Rattus norvegicus: one gene and its partners. Each later gene encodes a partner of the first gene's protein in a complex. Links are inferred from orthologs where the notes say so. Each region holds a gene or a part of one and is shown on either strand. Other genes may lie near its edges.

What was found.
Region 2: Cacna1c (region 1) and Cacnb2 share a complex: the UniProt entries of both Homo sapiens proteins name them as parts of the calcium channel complex. The link is inferred for Rattus norvegicus from reciprocal best matches to the Homo sapiens genes CACNA1C and CACNB2.
Region 3: Cacna1c (region 1) and Cacnb3 share a complex: the UniProt entries of both Homo sapiens proteins name them as parts of the calcium channel complex. The link is inferred for Rattus norvegicus from reciprocal best matches to the Homo sapiens genes CACNA1C and CACNB3.
Region 4: the proteins of Cacna1c (region 1) and Cacna2d1 are in contact, whole or in part, in a cryo-EM structure (PDB 8WEA), measured with the Homo sapiens proteins. The link is inferred for Rattus norvegicus from reciprocal best matches to the Homo sapiens genes CACNA1C and CACNA2D1. Residues at the interface, in NP_955630.3 of Homo sapiens: Phe147, Pro148, Glu149, Asp150, Asp151, Ser152, Asn153, Ala154, Asn678, Lys1090, Gly1091, Asn1092, Tyr1093, Ile1094, Tyr1096, Gly1099, Val1101, Pro1104, Ile1106, Arg1109, Tyr1156; in NP_001353796.1 of Homo sapiens: Thr170, Asp171, Tyr173, Ile233, Leu235, Gly262, Ser263, Ser265, Lys270, Thr274, Ala327, Lys328, Gly329, Ile330, Glu366, Gln391, His392, Tyr394, Ile416, Gly417.
Region 5: Cacna1c (region 1) and Cacnb1 share a complex: the UniProt entries of both Homo sapiens proteins name them as parts of the calcium channel complex. The link is inferred for Rattus norvegicus from reciprocal best matches to the Homo sapiens genes CACNA1C and CACNB1.

The regions. Positions count from the first base shown.
Region 1 is NC_086022.1:153,439,739-153,443,251, reverse strand, and holds part of Cacna1c (voltage-dependent L-type calcium channel subunit alpha-1C), read left to right. Parts: exon of another isoform or gene 1-614; coding exon 615-721; exon of another isoform or gene 722-1,391; coding exon 1,392-1,495; exon of another isoform or gene 1,496-2,495; intron 2,496-3,042; coding exon 3,043-3,378; intron 3,379-3,513. UniProt on the Homo sapiens protein: Pore-forming, alpha-1C subunit of the voltage-gated calcium channel that gives rise to L-type calcium currents. Mediates influx of calcium ions into the cytoplasm, and thereby triggers calcium release from the sarcoplasm.
Region 2 is NC_086035.1:82,812,205-82,815,642, forward strand, and holds part of Cacnb2 (voltage-dependent L-type calcium channel subunit beta-2), read left to right. Parts: intron 1-758; coding exon 759-854; intron 855-2,500; coding exon 2,501-2,689; intron 2,690-3,242; coding exon 3,243-3,438. UniProt on the Homo sapiens protein: Beta subunit of voltage-dependent calcium channels which contributes to the function of the calcium channel by increasing peak calcium current. Plays a role in shifting voltage dependencies of activation and inactivation of the channel.
Region 3 is NC_086025.1:131,673,050-131,676,562, forward strand, and holds the end of Cacnb3 (voltage-dependent L-type calcium channel subunit beta-3), read left to right. Parts: intron 1-74; coding exon 75-184; intron 185-304; coding exon of another isoform or gene 305-378; exon of another isoform or gene 379-418; coding exon 419-570; intron 571-801; coding exon 802-897; intron 898-997; coding exon 998-1,147; intron 1,148-1,744; coding exon 1,745-2,059; 3' UTR 2,060-3,036; downstream 3,037-3,513. UniProt on the Homo sapiens protein: Regulatory subunit of the voltage-gated calcium channel that gives rise to L-type calcium currents. Increases CACNA1B peak calcium current and shifts the voltage dependencies of channel activation and inactivation.
Region 4 is NC_086022.1:20,327,346-20,331,421, reverse strand, and holds the start of Cacna2d1 (voltage-dependent calcium channel subunit alpha-2/delta-1 isoform 1 precursor), read left to right. Parts: upstream 1-1,274; 5' UTR 1,275-1,559; coding exon 1,560-1,654; intron 1,655-4,076. UniProt on the Homo sapiens protein: The alpha-2/delta subunit of voltage-dependent calcium channels regulates calcium current density and activation/inactivation kinetics of the calcium channel. Plays an important role in excitation-contraction coupling.
Region 5 is NC_086028.1:83,512,340-83,516,603, reverse strand, and holds the start of Cacnb1 (voltage-dependent L-type calcium channel subunit beta-1), read left to right. Parts: upstream 1-1,457; 5' UTR 1,458-1,649; coding exon 1,650-1,733; exon of another isoform or gene 1,734-2,095; intron 2,096-4,264. UniProt on the Homo sapiens protein: Regulatory subunit of L-type calcium channels. Regulates the activity of L-type calcium channels that contain CACNA1A as pore-forming subunit.

The DNA of each region.
Region 1 (3,513 bases):
ACTATCTGATGGCTGGATGACTGCATGGCCACTTCAGGCAGTGGCTTGTGTGAAGAGAAAGCCACTCAGGGGAGAATTGGAGGGATAGGGGATGTAGTAACACTGAGAATGTCTATAGTGAACAGTATAGACCTATGTGAAGGCAGGTGTGGAAGGTCCTTCTAAGAGAATGTTGTATGGGCCTAGAATCCTTTCTCCAACTTTCCCTAAACCCAAGAAAGCCTCCACTGGCTGAGATCAGAAGCTCAAGGAAGGCTAGAGTCTAGGATAGGAGTTCAGCGGTCGGGTGTTTATCAAGCATGTATGAGGCTTTGAATTCCAATCCTCAGCCCAGTGGGAAAAACAAACAAAAAATCAACTACAAGGGCTCATGCACTGGGTATGTATCAAGAGCTGGGACACCCAGCAAGCAGGCCTAAGAGATGACTAGGATGCCTGAGACCAGACACAGGTTCTTAGCATAGCCTGACACCGACTGCCCACACCAGTATGTAGGGACACGAATCGGCACTGACTTCACAGAGGAAAGTAGAAAGTGCTTTCTAGGGACAGCAGCTGTCCTGACACTTCTGGGCGGGCCTTCAGGAACAAGTGTTGATGCTTCTCCATTCCAGACTCTCCTACCAGGACGATGAAAACCGACAACTGACCTGTCTAGAGGAGGACAAGAGGGAGATCCAGCCATCTCCGAAGAGGAGTTTCCTTCGCTCTGCCTCTCTAGGTAAACCCACACCTTGCTCTGCCAACGTAGACAATAGTCACCTCTAAGATGGCAATGGTCAGACAGCAAGTGACAACGGAGAACTTATTTGGGCCTCACTCAGACAACCTCTAGAGATGGCCTGCTAGACATGCGAAGTGACAGAATAGCTCTCCAAAGACAGAGTCTGTCGGAAGGGGACATAGACAGTGGCTACTCAGATGCCTCTGACAATATAAAGAGCTTGGGGCTGACAGCACTGACCCCTGTACGTCAGCAGTGAGCCTCTCTTAGTCAGCTTTCTGTCACTGTAATAAAACACTTAAGATGGCCAGCTTAAAAAAACACGAGAAAGACTAACGAACTCACAGATTTGGAAGCTTGGTGTATTACTTTGGGACCTGTGACAAGGAGGCACATTATGACAGGAAATGTGTCCTTTGCCTCCATAAATAAAGGCAGGAAAGAGATCAGTGTCCCGAGTTCACTTTCAAAGACACATCCCCACGGTAGAAAGCCTCCCAAGAGGCTCCACCTTTTAAACATTCAGCCAGCCTTTCAACTCTACAAACTGGGGATTGAGCCTTTAATGCATGGCCCCTGGTAGACATTGTGGTCTAAATTACGCAGAGCTGTCACGGGTCGGTGCCATCACCTGTGTCCTGATTCCAGTTCTCTGCTACTTTTGCAGGTCGAAGGGCCTCCTTCCATCTGGAATGTCTAAAGCGACAAAAGGATCAAGGGGGAGACATCTCTCAGAAGACAGCCTTGCCCTTGCATCTGGTTCATCACCAGGTATTAACGTCTGTGAACAGGTCACAGCCGCACAACCTAGGATGACAGTAGCTCCCCAGATACTTTTCTGTCTTCCCCTCTCAGACCTCTGTGCACCAGCCCCTGAATAGGGCCGACTACTTCTCTACACATAGGCAGGTCCCTATGAAACCACAGTGAGGATTCCTCTCGTGAGTCTAACTGGAAGCCTCAGGGCTCGTGAGCTTTCTCCTTACAGCGCACAGATACCCCCCCCCCGACTCCCACACTGCCTGATGCTGCGTGTACCAACTGGATACAATATACATGGGGATTGATGGGACCTAGACCTTGAATGTCAGAGCAGTCTATCTGTCCACTGCAATGCAGATATGACGACAGCACCTGTCAGTAACATGGCCAACAGAAGGAAATGCTGGGCGTGGTGGCCATGCCTGTAATCACAGCATCCAAGAGGCTAAGGATAGAGAGTTTTAGACTAGGCTAGACTGGCAAAAAAAAAAGTAGGATTTGTGTGTACATGGGTATGCATGTGTGTGTGCATGTACACACATATGTGTTTTCTAAACTGATATCACTTCAGCTCAAAGCCAAAGCACTGTCTAAATAGGGATCATAGTCATAAACTTTCCAACCTAATGCACACAGGGTTATGCTTCCTTTAGATTTCCAGGTACCCAGAAGCTGGGGGCCCTCATGAGCTGGGAAGGAGGAAGAAAGGCAGGGTCGCTGTGTGCTTTTTAAAATGGTTTTCCCAGGTTGGTTTGCCCACCTGTCTTCATGCCCATAGGGAGTAAACTAGCTTCCCCTGTGTGTCTTTCTGCCACCTCCAACCCATCCTCTCTGTCTCCCAGAGATGGACATTCCCACCATGTGGTAGCATTCTTTTCAACAAACATATCCCATCTGGACAGTGCCGAGAGAGTCACAGTGACAGTGGCAATTCAGACCTACCCTCAGGAGTCTCAGGAGCATTCGGGGGCAGAAGGCAGGCATGGAAATCCTTTAATCATGACGCAGTCTAACGAGAATAAAGAGTTCAAAACACACTCTATTGAGAATGACAAGAGTGTTTTCAACTGCCTTGTCTCACTGTAAAAGTTAAAATAATGGCGACTGGTATTCCTAGCTCTCCATGATGAATACCGTCCCTCTAATGCCTTATTTCACTTGACATCACACGGACCTACAGGTCAGTTTGTAGAGAGGGCACTGGCGAACTGCAGCTCTGTGTACCCACACATCATCATTGTCCTTTCTGTTCAAGTGGGAAAAGCCAGAGTGACCGAATCAAGATGCTACTACGGCTGATAGAGCCAGTCTAAACGTGGGATGGTCCCCACTGTACTCAGTTGTAAGGTCCTGAAGCTAAAGGGAACTGCTATTATGTCCGAAGAAAATGCTCGTTAAAAATATATCTGGATATTAAATGTTACACCAGTGAGGTAGACGGAATCTTGACTTCCAGAATTCTAAGTCGAATTCACTGGAAAAATATTGGCTCCCAAGTTCCTCAGAAGGCAGAGGGGCGAAGCCTCCTAGTAAACTCCTGTTTCTTATGTCCACAGGCATTGGCAGTGGCAGGCTTGAGCCCCCTCCTGCAGAGAAGCCATTCTCCTTCCACGTTCCCCAGGCCACGCCCCACGCCCCCTGTCACTCCAGGCAGCCGGGGCAGGCCCCTACAGCCCATCCCTACCCTGCGGCTGGAGGGGGCGGAGTCCAGTGAGAAACTCAACAGCAGCTTCCCGTCCATCCACTGCAGCTCCTGGTCAGAGGAGACCACAGCCTGTAGTGGGGGCAGCAGCATGGCCCGGAGAGCCCGGCCCGTCTCCCTCACCGTGCCCAGCCAGGCTGGAGCTCCAGGCAGACAGTTCCACGGCAGCGCCAGCAGCCTGGTGGAAGCGGTATGTGAATTCAAGCTCTTTCGGGGAGAAACGGGGCCCAGAAAGCAAGAGAATTTGGTGCAGAGAAGAAAGCCTGGCTCCTTTCCAAGTAGATTGGCTGTCAGTGTATAAACTAGAGAAGTGCTGAGGGAGGGC
Region 2 (3,438 bases), on another chromosome or scaffold:
CTAGCAGACCTTTCCTTAAGCAGCCAGTCAGACTTCGAAAGAAGCATCTGCTGCCAGCAAAGCAGTGCTAAGCAGTGAAGTGCGTAAACATGTGGTTCATAGAGAAGTCACGAGTGATCTTACAAGTCGTGTGAGGAGAGGTCCAGCAGCTTCAACAGAGCAGGAATACGTTAAGCTGTTCCATGTAGCCCGCCCGAGTCCTCACGGCCACAGTTTGTGTAGCAATCCGTTTGCTGGACTTCAGTTTAGTACTGAAGAATGTCACTTGCTCTCTGATGAGGAAGCTGGCAAACCCTTTATTTAGCTGTGTATCTCTGCAATGGCCTCCTTACAAATATCAAAAAAATGCACATTATAGCATATTGGATATAGAAGCTAATATTTCAGATGTCTTAAAAAGTGATTTTTACTTTAAAATGAATTAACAGTGCTAAGATTTTTAGAAATATTTCCTGAAATCAATGGCCATTTGGGGTTCATGATATATATACATATTTATATATATGTATCTATATAAAGAGTTGATAAGGCAGGAATTTTTGAGAACTGTTAGGCGAGAAAGGACAGCCATCAGCTTTATACTAGTGCTTAAGTCTGCAAGAGATTTATGGAAACGTTAATTTTGGGGTTAATCTCTATGTTGTACTTTCTCAATGATACATGCTAATCATCCAGGGCCAAGTAGAAAGTAGTCCATAATGCACTGTGTAGCTCACCCAAGTACAGATGTTCCTGTTATAAACCCATACCTTTTACAGGTTTTACAAAGGTTAATAAAATCTCGAGGAAAGTCTCAAGCAAAGCACCTCAATGTCCAGATGGTGGCAGCCGATAAACTGGCCCAGTGTCCCCCGGTAAGTAATCTACACGGTCCCAACAGTCTAGGGGTTAGACCTCCAGTGTAGAAAGGGTGCTTACATCTGGAGGGAGAGGCTCCTCCTCACTTACAATGGCATTCACTCTAAGGAAGTATGCCAGCGCCTGTGTGATAGTGCGCCTTGAATACGTGCAGACCAGGTAATGGTCGCCCTTCCGAAAACACCACAAACACCCCATGCAGCCCTCACTTTCTGTTAAAGGATGGTGGTTTGTAAGATGGGACTTCTTCGGAGTCTGGGTCTCACCCACTTCTAGAAACATGCAACAGGTTGTCCGAGAAAGTGAGTTTCACGTACAAGAACGGCAGTGGGAGCGCGCCTTCTGCAGCACACACTGAGGTCGGAGGATAGCATGGGTCTGGCCCTGAGCTTCCGTCTTGAGACAGGCGTCTTGGTGCTGGCTTGAGTATACAACAGGCTAGCTGGCTTGCTAATTTCCAGGACTCTCTTGTCTGTACCCTGTATTCTTGTACAAGTGCTGGGATTACTAAAACTCGACGCTATGCATCTAGCTTTGGCATGGGTTCTAGAGGTTCAAGTGCACAGCAAGCACTTCTCCCAGTGAGTTATCTCACTAGCCCCAAAGCCATATTCTTTCAAACTGTAAGAACGATCTTTTATTGAGGGAGGGGTCATTAATCCTTCTTTGCCGCAGCCTTCCTCACAGCTGCCAGCACGTTACTCAGCTCCTCCTGCTTTCTCTTGGCACAGATGTGCACACCCACCCTGCTCTTGATGAACTTGAGTGGTGCTTGTCCTTGGACACTTTGAGCAACTCTGTGACACCCTGCTTGCTCGTAGGGCTCAAAGCTGACACCTCCCGGACCATATCCCGCACGAACTTGGTGTGCTTGGTGAGGCGCCCATGGCGCTGGCTGTGTCTCAGGTTGCTGACATTTTTGGTCACTTTGTGGCCCTTGTTGAGGCCTACAGTCATGAGTTAGCACAGGGTCATGGCTGCTGCTCCCAGATGGTGGCCAGGACAGGAAGCCCAAACCAAATTTTTAAACAGTAAGTTTGGAACACATTCCTACTTTTACATATTATACTTTGGGACTATAGTTCCGATCTAGTATTCATTCAAGTACAGCAATTTCAGAAGATACTTTAAATCAGCCAAATTCATAATTGTATATTACATTTCTTGATCAACAATTTTAAATCCTCAAAAGTAAAGGACCTCATCTCTCACTGATCTCTCCCTACACAAAAATGTTAAGTTTGGACTATTTCTGCCAATATGCATGACCTAATCTTGCCTCATTTGCTTCCAGAGCTTTCTACAACCTGTCTCAAGACCAAGCACCCTTCTAAACTGATTAGATTGTTCATGTTTTCTAGCACAATATCAACTTTTTACGACTGACAGTAACTCCCCTGCATTGCCCTCACCGACCATGCTGACAGCCGTCCGTTCTTGAGCAGTTAACCACTCAGTGTTAATTAAGGATTTGAGGAAACACACACACACACACACACAGGCTAAAAGAGCCAATGGAAAAGGAAATATCAGGGCAATAACAAATACAATGGGCAAGGCCTCTCTTCTGTTTACGGGTTTGAGGAAAAGACAGACTTGGTCCTGCATTGCATTAATGTGCTATCTGAAATGCTTACCTCAGCAGGAGTCATTTGATGTGATCTTGGATGAGAACCAACTTGAGGATGCTTGTGAGCATCTCGCCGACTATCTGGAGGCGTACTGGAAGGCCACCCACCCTCCCAGCAGTAACCTCCCCAACCCTCTCCTTAGCCGGACTTTAGCCACCTCAACTTTACCTCTGAGCCCCACCCTTGCCTCTAATTCACAGGTAAGAGCACTTCCTTTTATGGTCTTCATAGAGAATGTAGGCTGTCTCAGCTGATCCCCTGAGACTCAAGTCCAGTGAAGGGACATCATGCTTGATCTGCTACTGTTTGCTCACCAAGAAGCCCAAGTGCCAGCTGACCAAGTTCTATCAGTCCAGTATGAATTGTGTGCCTAAACAAAGAGCTGTGAACATACCTCAGCCATCCCTCTGCGAAGGCTCTGGGATAGTATATGTCCTCTGTATATCCTCCAACTTAATGAATTTTAATCTGTTCAAGCAGATTAGTTAAGACTATGGTTATAAGATACCCGTATCAGTATCAGAATCACAAAAGACTAAAAGTCACCCTTCTTGCCCCTTCACTGAAATGAAATGTTATGGGAACACTAGTCCAGCTTAAGTCATGCCACTGAGTATGTCAAAGGAGTGAAGGGCTGGGCTTCATTTCGGGTTTTGGTACTTCAGACAGACAGACAGACACACTTACACGATGCTGCTCCCAAGACATGTTAGTTCCTCAGCTGATGCCCTCATGTGTGTCCCTTTGCCACAGGGTTCTCAAGGTGATCAGAGGACTGATCGCTCTGCTCCCCGGTCTGCTTCCCAAGCTGAAGAAGAACCTTGTCTGGAACCAGTCAAAAAATCCCAACACCGTTCTTCCTCAGCCACACACCAAAACCACCGCAGTGGGACAGGTCGAGGCCTCTCTAGGCAAGAAACGTTTGACTCTGAAACCCAAGAGAGCCGAG
Region 3 (3,513 bases), on another chromosome or scaffold:
GAGAGCTGGTGTGGGGAGTCCGTGACTTAGATGGCGTGTGTGTGTGTGTGTGTGTGTGTGTTCCTCACACCCAGGATCTCCATCACCCGCGTCACGGCTGACCTCTCACTGGCCAAGCGCTCTGTGCTCAACAATCCTGGCAAGAGGACCATCATCGAGCGCTCTTCTGCCCGCTCCAGCATTGGTGAGGAGTCCTTTGTCCCTGGCTCTCTGCCCGCTTGATGCTAGTGAAAACCTTGAACTCCTTGTGGTCTTGCCCACGCCCCACCACCTGTCCCAAGTGCTGCCCTCCTCCCTTGCCCAGTCCACTGCCCGCCCAGGCTTGCTGGTCCGTTCCATTCGCCGCCGTGTAGCAGCTCTGGAAGCCCTGGCAGTTAGCAGTGGCCAGAGCCCCTGGTGAGCTGCTCCCCTTCCTCAGCTGAGGTGCAGAGTGAGATTGAGCGCATATTCGAGCTGGCCAAATCCCTGCAGCTAGTGGTGTTGGATGCTGACACCATCAACCACCCAGCACAGCTAGCCAAGACCTCACTGGCCCCCATCATCGTCTTCGTCAAAGTGTCCTCGCCAAAGGTAAGTGAACTGGGGTCACTGGGGTCCCCTAGAATACAGTGCACCTCTGCCTGGGTCTTCCCTGGAGTGACCGGTTCCTTTTCCTGCCATTCCTTAACACCCCGAGTCCTCCTCACCCAGTATAAATGTCATTCATAGCACAAGGTGGGAATTGAGCCTAGTTCCTTCCAGGCTCAGATCTCACCAGAGCCCACGAGAAACGCCACGCCCATCCCTGCCCTTCTCCTCCAGGTACTGCAGCGACTGATCCGCTCCAGGGGGAAGTCCCAGATGAAGCACCTCACTGTACAGATGATGGCATATGATAAGCTGGTTCAGTGCCCACCTGTGAGTGCTTGGGTCGGCTGCACCCACGGCCTATGCCAGAGGTTAGAGCTCAGCATCATTGCTGCAGAGAAGCCAAACTCGCTGTGTGCTCTCTCTCCAGGAGTCATTTGATGTGATTCTGGATGAGAACCAGCTGGACGACGCCTGTGAGCACCTAGCTGAATACCTAGAGGTTTACTGGCGCGCTACCCACCACCCAGCACCGGGCCCCGGGATGCTGGGTCCGCCCAGTGCCATCCCTGGACTTCAGGTAGCCATTTCTTTTTTTTTTTTTTTTAAAGATTTATTATTATATATATAAGTACACTGTAGGTGTCTTTAGACACACAAGAAGAGGGCATCAGATCTCATTACAGATGGTTGTGAGCCACCATGTGGTTGCTGGGATTTGAACTAAGGACCTCTGGAAGAGCAGTCAGTGCTCTTAACCACTGAGCCATCTCTCCAGCCCCAGGTAACCATTTCTACTGGGCAAAGCTCCTGGCTTGACCGAGGATTATTCTCAGTCTGTATGTGAAGCCAAGGGACACAGGCCAAGGGACTTCCTGTCTGGACAGCATGGTGACTGAGATTAGAGCTGGTCCTCCTAGGGTCCAAGGAAACACCCCACACCTTTCTCCCAGGCACTTTTTAAGGAAGAGCCTGAATTTGTAAGGAGCTAACAGTCCAGCTTTCTGCCTCTGGCCTGGAAAATGCCCCAGCTTACTCCTTCCTTGCACTGTTCACTCTTTTAAAAACCTAAGAATCAAGACTAAGGGAGGAAGAACCCCACCTCCCTGCCAGAGTCCTGGGAGGAACAAAGGCTAGACCTCCCTTACCTTACTTAGAGCTATTGTATGTCCCCCAGAACCAGCAGCTGCTGGGGGAGCGAGGTGAGGAGCATTCACCCCTGGAGCGGGACAGTTTGATGCCCTCGGATGAGGCCAGTGAGAGCTCCCGCCAGGCCTGGACCGGATCTTCACAGCGCAGCTCCCGCCATCTGGAGGAGGACTATGCAGATGCCTACCAGGACCTGTACCAGCCTCACCGTCAACACACCTCGGGGCTACCCAGTGCTAACGGGCATGACCCCCAAGACCGGCTCCTAGCCCAGGACTCGGAGCATGACCACAATGACCGGAACTGGCAGCGTAACCGGCCTTGGCCTAAGGACAGCTACTGACCACCTCCTGCCCTACCCTGGCAGGCACAGACACAGCGGCTGGGGTGTCCACCTCAGGCAGGTTGGAGTTAGATTGGCGTTAGGCTGCCTCTAGGTTCAGCTCACACAACCCTCTGCCCAGCCCTAGGTCCAGGGCTGACTGTGGTCCCAAGGTTCTGGGAGAAGCAAGGGGCCCCCTCACCTCCTGGGCACAGTGACCCCGTAGGTTCTCATCCAGGTACTAGCTGTGTTCTGCATCCTTGGCACCTTCCCCTGCATAAGAAGCTGCCCCGGTGAGCAATGATCTCAGGCCGGGATCACTTAGCAGGGGTCTTCCAGCCAGAATGGATACCCCTCTAAACAGCAGGAGGGTGTGAGTGCAGGCAATGTAGCATGAGGAAGAGACATGGTTCCTGAGCAGGCGTAAACCCTAAGCAAAGGAACTCCGTTCACGTCACTGCCGCACATTAGAAATGAAGCAATCAGAGCTCAACATGGCGGCACTTCTATCCCATCAGCTGGGGTGGGCACTTACACCTAAGACAGGAGCAGTGCAGGTGAGGCAGGACAGACAGCTCATGGCTGTAGCTCTGTTAGAGAACGGCCCTCCTCACCAAACCAGGAAGCTTAGCATCTGGCAAGACTAGGGAACTGGGGCACAGTCAAGCCCAAAGCCGGCCTGGACTGCGGGGAAGGGGGAGCAGCTTCCAGCCCCCCCACCCCCCTTGCTTTCCTCATTCTTTGCCCTTGCGTCTGTCATTTCTGTTCCTTCCCTCCATGCCTCCTGCAAGATAGGGGCTCCCTGGCTCGTAGCTGCCACTTGTTAAGTTAGGGTTAGATGAGAGGAACAGACACAATGAACAGCCCCAGAGGCTGTCACCTGGCTACCCTTGCCTTATGGCTCTAGCGTTTGACCTACAGAGCATGCTCCATTAAGAACCCGCCCCACCTCATTGTCATCTCCAATAAAACATAACGCACAGTCCCTTGGGTGTCTCTCCTCTGTTCTCTCAAGTGGCTCTGTAAATCTGCAGAGGTGAGGTTCCCTGGCTCATTCTCTGAGGATTCGTGAATTGGGGGAGACCAGCAACTGCAGCAAGAGGCCCTGTATGTGTAGGCACACGGGGGCACCCCAGGCCTGATGACTGGAGGAGGCAGTTGGCGGTACACAAGGCACTCTGAGAAATGAGGAAGTGACAGAGCTTCCCGCTGCTCGCCTCAGGCCAGAGGGCTGCACAGAGCAGCTACAACTTGAATTCATATACTTGCCTCCCTCTGAGGGACGGGGAGGGCCTGCGCCCGAGATGGAAAACCCATCTCCAGTCCTCCAGACCCAGCTGAACCCACCCAGCGAGCAAGGGAAGCAGGGAGTACATGTTGGCTCAAGTGTGGTTCCACACAAAAGCAGGAGAGACACTGCCATCCTGCTCCCTCCATCCCTCCCGTGCAGATAAACAACTATGTGAGAAGCTAGG
Region 4 (4,076 bases), about 130 Mb from region 1:
TGAACCCTTGGGCCCGAGGGAGGGGTGATTAACCACCTTACAGCCACAAAACCATGACAGCTTCTTCGCCTTAGTGTGAGGGTCTTTTTTTCTCATCACGAACTGTATTCTCTGATTTCGCGTCAAAGTGTTTTCATATCCTTCTGCAAGCAGCTTAAGAATTCGGGCTGTTCCATGAAGTCTTTCTCACAGCGGCCCACTAAGTCTTTCCTCCAAGGTGGCCTGAGCCAGGCAGGAAAAGATTGTTTTGTTTTGTTTTGCTCTTTCCAGAAGACCCTCCCTCGCCCTGCTTCTCCCCAGGGTGGAGGTAAAACCAGCCCTTCCTCCATATTTCAGATGTAGTTTGCAGAGGGCCACCTGTTTCTGAGGTTAGCCTCGGTTCTGTGTTCACGCTGACAGAGTGAATTCATCAGGCTACAACCTTGTTCACAAAGCAGTCCAGTGGTCAGGACAGGGAATTTTTCAACCAGTTGGAAGGTGGCTTGCTAAAATGTTACCAAAGCCCGGTTGCAACACTAACCACCCTGCAAGGAGTACTGGTCCCTCTAGTCTTCATTCCTTTGGAACAGTAGGAAAGACATCTTACAGCATCTGCCAGCTGTTCTTCATCCATTCCCAGCCCGCCTCTGAGGCTCTGTCCCCGCCAGGTAAACCAAGTCTACTTGTACGTTGGCGTAGGGCCGCTGGCACCATTAGAGCCCTACCAAAGGCCCTAACCCCTGGCACACCGTGAAAACCAGGGCCACCTGGTTGAGTTCACAGCGGCGCTTTCAAAAGCACCACAAACCCCTCCTACATGTGTTGTCAAATCACTTCATGATTCTTAGGCAGGCAGCGGATTCTACGCCTGGGAGAAGGGTTTGGGGGCCCCAGCCAGATTGTGCAAAAAATAACCCGGAGGAGGCGAGCAAAGTGCTCGGCTGGAGCCTGCGCGAACGGTGGATGCTCGCAGGCTGCCGGTGGTCCCTCGGGGAGCACCTTCGGGCTGGGTCCGCTCGGCCTCCGCACGCCCCGCGGCGGGAGCAGGCGACGGCGACTTTGGGAGTTCCTCTCTGCCTTGTATGGAGGGCTGCGCCCGGGCCGTCCCCGCCCGGCTCTGACGCCCGGCCCTCCCGCTGCCCACCCACAGCCGCCTCCCCGAGATCCGCCCGGGGAAGGCAGCCCGATCCCCGCTCCGGCCACCCCCATCCCCGCAGCCGCCGCGTCCCCGCGCCGCCCCCTCCGCCCCCGCCCCGCCCCCGCCCTCTCCTCGGCGACCGCAGATAAATCAGGGAGGCGAGCGCGGGGAGCCAGAGCGCGCGGGCGCCGGCAGGCTGGCCGAGCTCCGTTTCCACAGTCGCCCTTGATGGCGGCGCAGGCGAGGCAGCCGTGGCACGGAGCGGCAGCCACGCGCTAGAGAGTCCGCCCGGCCCCGCCCGGCCGGCCCGCCCGTGCCCTGCCCTGCCCGCCTCTCTCCACGCGCCCTCCGGCAGACGTCGGCGCCCCGGCTCAGTCCCTCGCCGCGTGCAGCTCCGCCGCCTCCGGGCCGGCAGGGAGGGCACTGATCTTCGATCGCGAAGATGGCTGCTGGCTGCCTGCTGGCCTTGACTCTGACACTTTTCCAATCTTGGCTGATCGGCCCCTCGAGCGAGGAGCCCTTCCCTTCGCCCGTCACGTAAGTCGGCGGGCCCGGGGTGGGGCTGGAGGCGGGGGTCCCCGCTCGATGCCGGGCGGGCTGCCCGTGGGGGCGGGGAGCGCGGCTGGGAGCCTCGGAGGCTGGGCCGCCCGGTGATGCGCTGCTGGCCGCCGGAGTGAGCTCGGAACCGGCGTGCCGAGCCTCGGCGGGCCGCACCGTCCCAGGGAACGTCAGCCAGCCGTCGGCGGCGTCTCAACCTGGTCTCCGAGGATGCTCCAAGCTGAAGACTGTAGCCGGACTTGGGGGAAAAACTTTGTAGGCATACCCAGCTCCCACCAAACCCAGCCAGATGAAAAGTTGAGTTTCCGTTAGGTATTTCAGAGTTAATTTCAGGCAGACCCGGTAGCTTGCGCTTCTTCTGTACTTGGCCTCTAGGATGCTAATTTCTCTGCTGTCCAAACTCATTTAGATCCCAAATTACTAGGAGCGCCTGACAGCTTCCCTGGTATTTAGCCAGTTCGCTCCCGGCAGCTGAGCGAGCTGTCCACCCCAGCGCTCACAGGTACAAGAGCCACCCAAGCCAACCTACCCAACCCTTTATTTGAAACATCTGAGAGCCGACAGACACGCGGTTCCAGTTCTTAGAATGAATAGAACCTCTATTCTTTGAGGGTGGGACTGTTTCCCCAGTCTCCTGCAATTTTCCCTTATTTTTAACATTTCTAAAATAACTTTCAAAAAGAGAGAGAAAGAAACCGTTGCTATTCTAGAAATAGAGTGTTGAAAGGTAGCTATAGTCACACGGCAGGAAGGGAATGCAATGCTACCATTCTCCGCTCTGCTCTCTCGGGGTGCAAGAAGGAATCAGAGTCAGTGGCACATATACATATTTTTAAATGCGCTGAATAGCTTATCTGGCATTCTGGGAAAGCATTTATTTTGGTTCTTGAAGGTACTCTAAAGCTGCTCAGAGTAGGTAGTCTTAAGTGGGTGAGTCACTTTAATGCATTTTACATAACAAAAACAAAGCCCAAGGTAGCCTTCCTGGCTTTTATGCCGCGGGGAATCACTTGCTGTCCTTTGTTGGCAGCGAGCTGAACCCTGGAGTTTTGGGGGTACACTAGAAGTACATCTATGCTAGCTGGAACCCGACAGCGATTACTTAAGATTTGGCCTAGAACATCCATCACGTTAGGTGTCAGCGCAAGCATCTAGTGCATATTCCAGCCAGGAGAAAGGGGGTGTCTAATATTTATGGCATGGATTTACGGTAATGTTCTCTTTAGATAATCTTCCATAAAAACGATCGCATATCCTTTTTGTCGTGAAGCAAAAGGGTAAAAGCCATCTGTAGAGCTTCGTTTAATTGGCAGAAGGTTCCAACTGTTTAATTTTAAACACGAGAAGTCTAAGAATTCCCTTAAGATGCTACAAAAAATCATCCAGTCTTATTAAGAAACCGCACTTTCACTTATTTATATTTTAGTGCTTTTGACTCGGCCTATTACATAAGAACTCGGTTGCCTCTCTTGCATTTTGTGTCAAATAAGTTGTGGCATTTAATAAGCCACATTCTTGACTTATTCGGAATGCACATTTTTAGTGCTGTTTTAAATTGATTTGCCAATATTGCTACTAATTGGGAAGGATGCCTCCTTCCATTAAGGAAAACAAAACACAAACAAACAAAAAAATCCAGACAAACAGTATTATTCAGCATGTCATAGTAAAATCCGAATGTAAAAATCCTTCTTATAAGAACATATGCAATAAATGTTTTCCCAAAATTAAGTAACTCAATTTTCCTGGTCAGATATGTGTTAAAGACATGAAGGAGATCAGGAAGGCATTTAAGATGGGAATTAGGAAGCCACGATTCCTTTTCTTTGAAAGGATGTGTGTTGTTTCAAACAATGGGAGTATGAAAATATTTCCATATTATATGCAGTGTTGCTTTATGGACTAAGAATGGGCTTTGTAGTCAGTGTCTTTATCATAGTATTAAAAACGTTCTGGAAACCTTCCTGCTTCTGCAATTACTTATTTGTAAAGTTAGTAATTCTATCTTTGGAGGAAGGGTAGTTGACATTTGTACTTGATGTTAGGTTTCAGAATAAAATCTGTGGGAAAAAAGTGGCATCAATCTCTTCGAAAAAACAGTGCCATTTGCTTTGCTTGCATGAAAAAAAATTAAGTGCAGTATTTATAAGATAAAAGCTCAGATCATCTGGGAAAAAAAATCAAGTTCATAAGAACGGAATCCAAAGATTGTAGCAATTATTAAAGGTCAATTATTTTGCTTCTATTTATAAATTTCTCAGAATATCATTAGGAACTTATTTGTTTTGTTGGCAGTTTTTTTTCCAGCAAAAATAAAATAAAATAAAATGAGAAGTTTCCATCTTCAGAAGAGGAAGACCATGCCACTAATATACTGTAACATTAATTAGTTGCTAATTGG
Region 5 (4,264 bases), on another chromosome or scaffold:
GTGATTAGAGAATCAACCATCACCTCTCAGAGTCCACAGTGAGGAGTCTAAACAGCCCACGGGCTCCAGGCAAGCAGAACACAGAAAATAGTCTTTATTTTAGGGCACTGGACCTTGGCAAGGCTTCATCTTACTTATCTCTCTGCTCTCTGAACAGCGAGCTGGGTGGAGGAGGAGGAACTGGCGTGCCCTCTTGCCACAGATGGCCCCCACATTGCTCATTAAGCACACCCAGAACCCCAGCCATCTTTTTTGTTGTGGGGCATGTTTGTTTGTTCATTCATGTTTTGTCTCTCTTCAAACTTAAGATGAGATCTAGGCTGACCTCTAGCCCCCAGCAGTGCTGTTCACCATCACACCGCTTCCCGGCTTCTTATTAATTTCAACCCGCAAAGACACCATAGTGTTAGCAACATAGTAGTAAAGGAAACAAAGAATGACTGGTTTATTCCAGACAGGGCTTCTCTCTGTAGCCCAGGCTGTCCTGAGGGTCACTTATGTAAAGAAGGCTGGCCTGGAATTCACAGAGATCATCCTGACCCTGTCTCCACAGTGTTGGGATTAAATGCGTGCCCTACCACTGCTTGGCTTGAGGACGACCCTTTTAGGATCCAATAACCAGCTGAGCCTGAGCCAAATTGGCCCGGAGTTGCTAGGATCCTACTTCTAGCCACAGTTCTGGGACATTCGTTCCTTGGACAAGGATAAAGGAGAGACAGGCCTAGGTCAATAGTCATGGAATATAGTTTTGAATAGCCCCTCCTCCATCTTCATTCTTCCTCCTCTTTCCTTTCTTTAAGAAGCAACAGGGGCTTACTCCTGCCCTTTTGGAAAAGCCTAGGGGACCTTAGTTATTGATGAGGCCGAAGTAATTCCTGGGTCCCTGGACAGCATTTCTACTATCCCTGTTGGCCTTCTCCTTTGGACACTCACCCCATCATCCATCCTCAGCCTCCAGGCAGCAGTCCTAGAGTCAGTTGGAGAGGGAGGTCTACTCAGCTAGTTTCATGGCGGCCTGGGCCTCACACTGGGGAGAAAGGGGTTAAAGCCAGGTCCCAGGATCACAGGGATCTGGAAGTTCCGGTGGCCCAAGCTGGAGTCGCTCAGGGAGACCAGCTGAGAGAGTAGTTTGGGACAGAAAGGAAAGCGTACCAGTCGAACCAACCTGCTCTTCACCCCCATCAACGCTTGGCATACACTGGTAAACGCCCCCCACCTCCATCCCAGCCTCAAGGCCAGTTTCCCCTTGGTCTCCTGCTGGCAGACCTCATCCCAGACTAATCAGAGGACAGCGGTCGAGCCCCTCCGCCTTCGGGAGGCCAGCCGGGCTCCGCCGCCCCGCCATTGTCTGCGCGCAGCGGGCTGAGGGGCTCGAGGGGCGGGGCCGCGGCGCGGGGCGGGAGCGAGGGAGGGGCGGGGGGAGATGCTGAGCCTTCAGGGGCGGAGGCGGCGGCGGCGGCGGCGGCGGCGGCGGCCGCAGAGAGCAGAGCGCGAGCCGGGAGGGCAGCAAGGCGGCGAGCGTGCAGCTGGGCGACTGCACCCGGTGCTGGCTGCGCGACGCCGCGCTGCTCTCGGCTCGGACGGCCTCTCCCATGCGCTGAGGGCCCCCGGCTGTGCCGGGAGGGCGGCCGGACCGGAGGATCCTCTCCATGGTCCAGAAGAGCGGCATGTCCCGGGGCCCTTACCCACCTTCCCAAGAGATCCCTATGGAGGTCTTCGACCCCAGCCCACAGGTGAGACGAGGTGCCAGGCTCGAGGGAAAGGACCGCTCCTGGGGTCGGCTCGGAAAATCCCGGGAAGGAAAGGGTTATATGCCCCGCGTAGATGGGAGAGGGACGTCTGCGCGACCCCCCATTCCCGAGGGTTAATGATCGATGGACTGTTGGCCCGAGTCGGGCTGCGGTGCTGCGGAGCGAGCGGAGGCGGGTGGAATGCCTGTCAACCTCGCCTCCAGGTCTCCCCCGCGTCCAGGTCCCTGCTGCTGGGGTACCGGCTCCAGCAGGCTGACAGCGGGGATGCTGATGGGGGTTGGGGGGAATCCAGGCCTTGAGAAGCGGAGTTGGAGGGAGCCTGGAGAGCGAATCAGGCGAGGGGGGCGACGCAGAGCACGTTTAGGGGCGCTAGTGGGTGTGGGTGGGGCGGGGGTAGTACTGGGAAAAGGCAGAGACGATGGTCAGAGGGCGTTGCCAACAGGCCTTCGAAGGCTCAGGCGTTGGCTTTCTAAGGTGGGAAAGGGATCAGCTCTGGGTGGCCTTCCCCTAGTCACCTGGTCTCCATCTCTCCCTTGGATGTTTCCCTACTCCCAACACCCACATTAACTTACCCCTCCCCTTACCCCAAGGGGTGGGAGCCTCCAAAGTTTGGAAAGTTGGATGGGTGCCAACTCACTGTGTTGGAGTGGAGGACGCTGTTTTACCTGGGGGAGGGGCGCTGCCTTCTGGCACACTCACTTTCCTATGTGCTTCGGTTACCCCTAGGTAGGGGCATTCTTGGGCATACAAGGTCCCCATAGAATGACCAGCAGGGTATGTGGTAGCCATGCCAGGGGATTTCTCTAGGACTTGTCCTTCTCCAAGGATAGCATTAACCCTTGCATTGCTGTGGCCAGCCTGGAGCAACTGTAAGCAACATGATGTGGTTGATGGGTGTGTATGGGGGGTCAGGTCAGACCTAAAAATACTTTGTTTCTCCACCCCAGGCCCCTTGGAGCCTGGGAGGCAGCTGACTGATGCCTTCCTTTCAGCTGTCCCCTGTCCCTCTGAAGGCCACTCCCTTTGCCCAGTTGGGGTGGGGTAGTGGTGTGAAAGAGTCTGAGGTTGTTCACTGAAGAATCCTCTTAGGTCTGTGGAGAGCATCAACACTAGTTTAGCTGTATGTCTAGTTTCAAAGAAGGAAAGAGGACCATAGAATGTTCAGTCCGTGTGTGTGTGTGTGTGTGTGTGTGTGTGTGTGTGTGTGTGTGTGTGATAGGATCTTATATAGTTCGGGCTGGCCTTGAACTTCTGATCCTCCTGCCTCTACCTCCAAAGAGTAGAAAATTACAGGTGTGAGTCACTATGTCACTAATCGGCTTCCTTGTTACCAGGTCTTAGGAGTCAGAGCCTACAGTGTGGTTGAGGTGCCCCTAGGTTCTTTGGTCTAAAAAAGTCTGGGATAGAGGCTGGGGGCAGGAGCTTTTGGGCATTCTGCCCATTCTGTACTGGGCAAGGGCCAAGAACATGAGCTTGTGTGTGTGTGTGTGTGTGTGTGTGTGTGTGTGTGTATGTGTGTGTGTGTGTGTGTGTGTGTGTGTGTGTGTGTGTGTGTGTGAAGGAGAGAGACAGAGACAGAGAGAGATGCTCAATAACTTTGGCGTGTGAGAGGTCAGACAGGATCCCCCCACCCCAGCTAGAGCCCACTAAGAGAGAGTAACCATCTTACCTGGTACTGGCAGAACTATATGTCCTAGTCTCAATTTGAGGTGGGGCCTAAGGGCCTTTGAGATTGATGGAGCAGGGTTAGTACCATGGGGATGGGGCATGGGCAGTAGCAGCTGGCGTGGGAGTAGAGTGGATCCTGCCTTTGGGAGGAATATAAAAACTGATTGCCAGGATGGAGGTTGAGAGAAAGTTCTGCTAGGGTGGAGGTGAGAGTGGGAAGCTGAACAATCTCCCCAGGCACCAGGCCACAGGTTGGATGTTTACTTCTCAGAGACTCCCTCTTTTCCTTCCTCAGAAACATGACTTTGGGTCTTCAAGAGCAGAATGCCTTTCCCTCCCCACTCTGGGCTCGGGAGAAACCAAGCCTGGCCCTGGGTTGCCTTTTCTCCTCTCTCTGGGGGCATAGCACACTCTGCCCCCTCAGCTCCAGATGCAGGGGAGAGGACGTCCCCCTCTCTTCCTCTGCCCCCCAGCGCTGCAGGCAGCCTCTCCCTTCCCCCCGAGGCTGCCGCAGCCCTGCCCAGCATCTTAATTAGCTTTGCTGCCTAACGAGCCTTCTATTCCTCGGGCTTTCTGCTTCCCAGCCTTCCACTTGATTCGGGGATTCCTGGGTGTGCATCTCAGGCTCTCTTGCACGGTTCCTCATGGTGGCTGTTGTCTGGGCACTGTCCGTGAGGTGGAAGACCCTCTTTTCTTTCAGACTGGTTACCTCTAGGAGGAGAAGCTGAAGTGGGGGTGGGGCAGAGCGGAGAGTCCCCAGCTAGGCTGACCGTATACAGCCCCAGCCCCGGCAGGAGGTGGACTGGGAAGGCAGGCGTCTTTCTGATTCCACTCTTGTTCCTTCC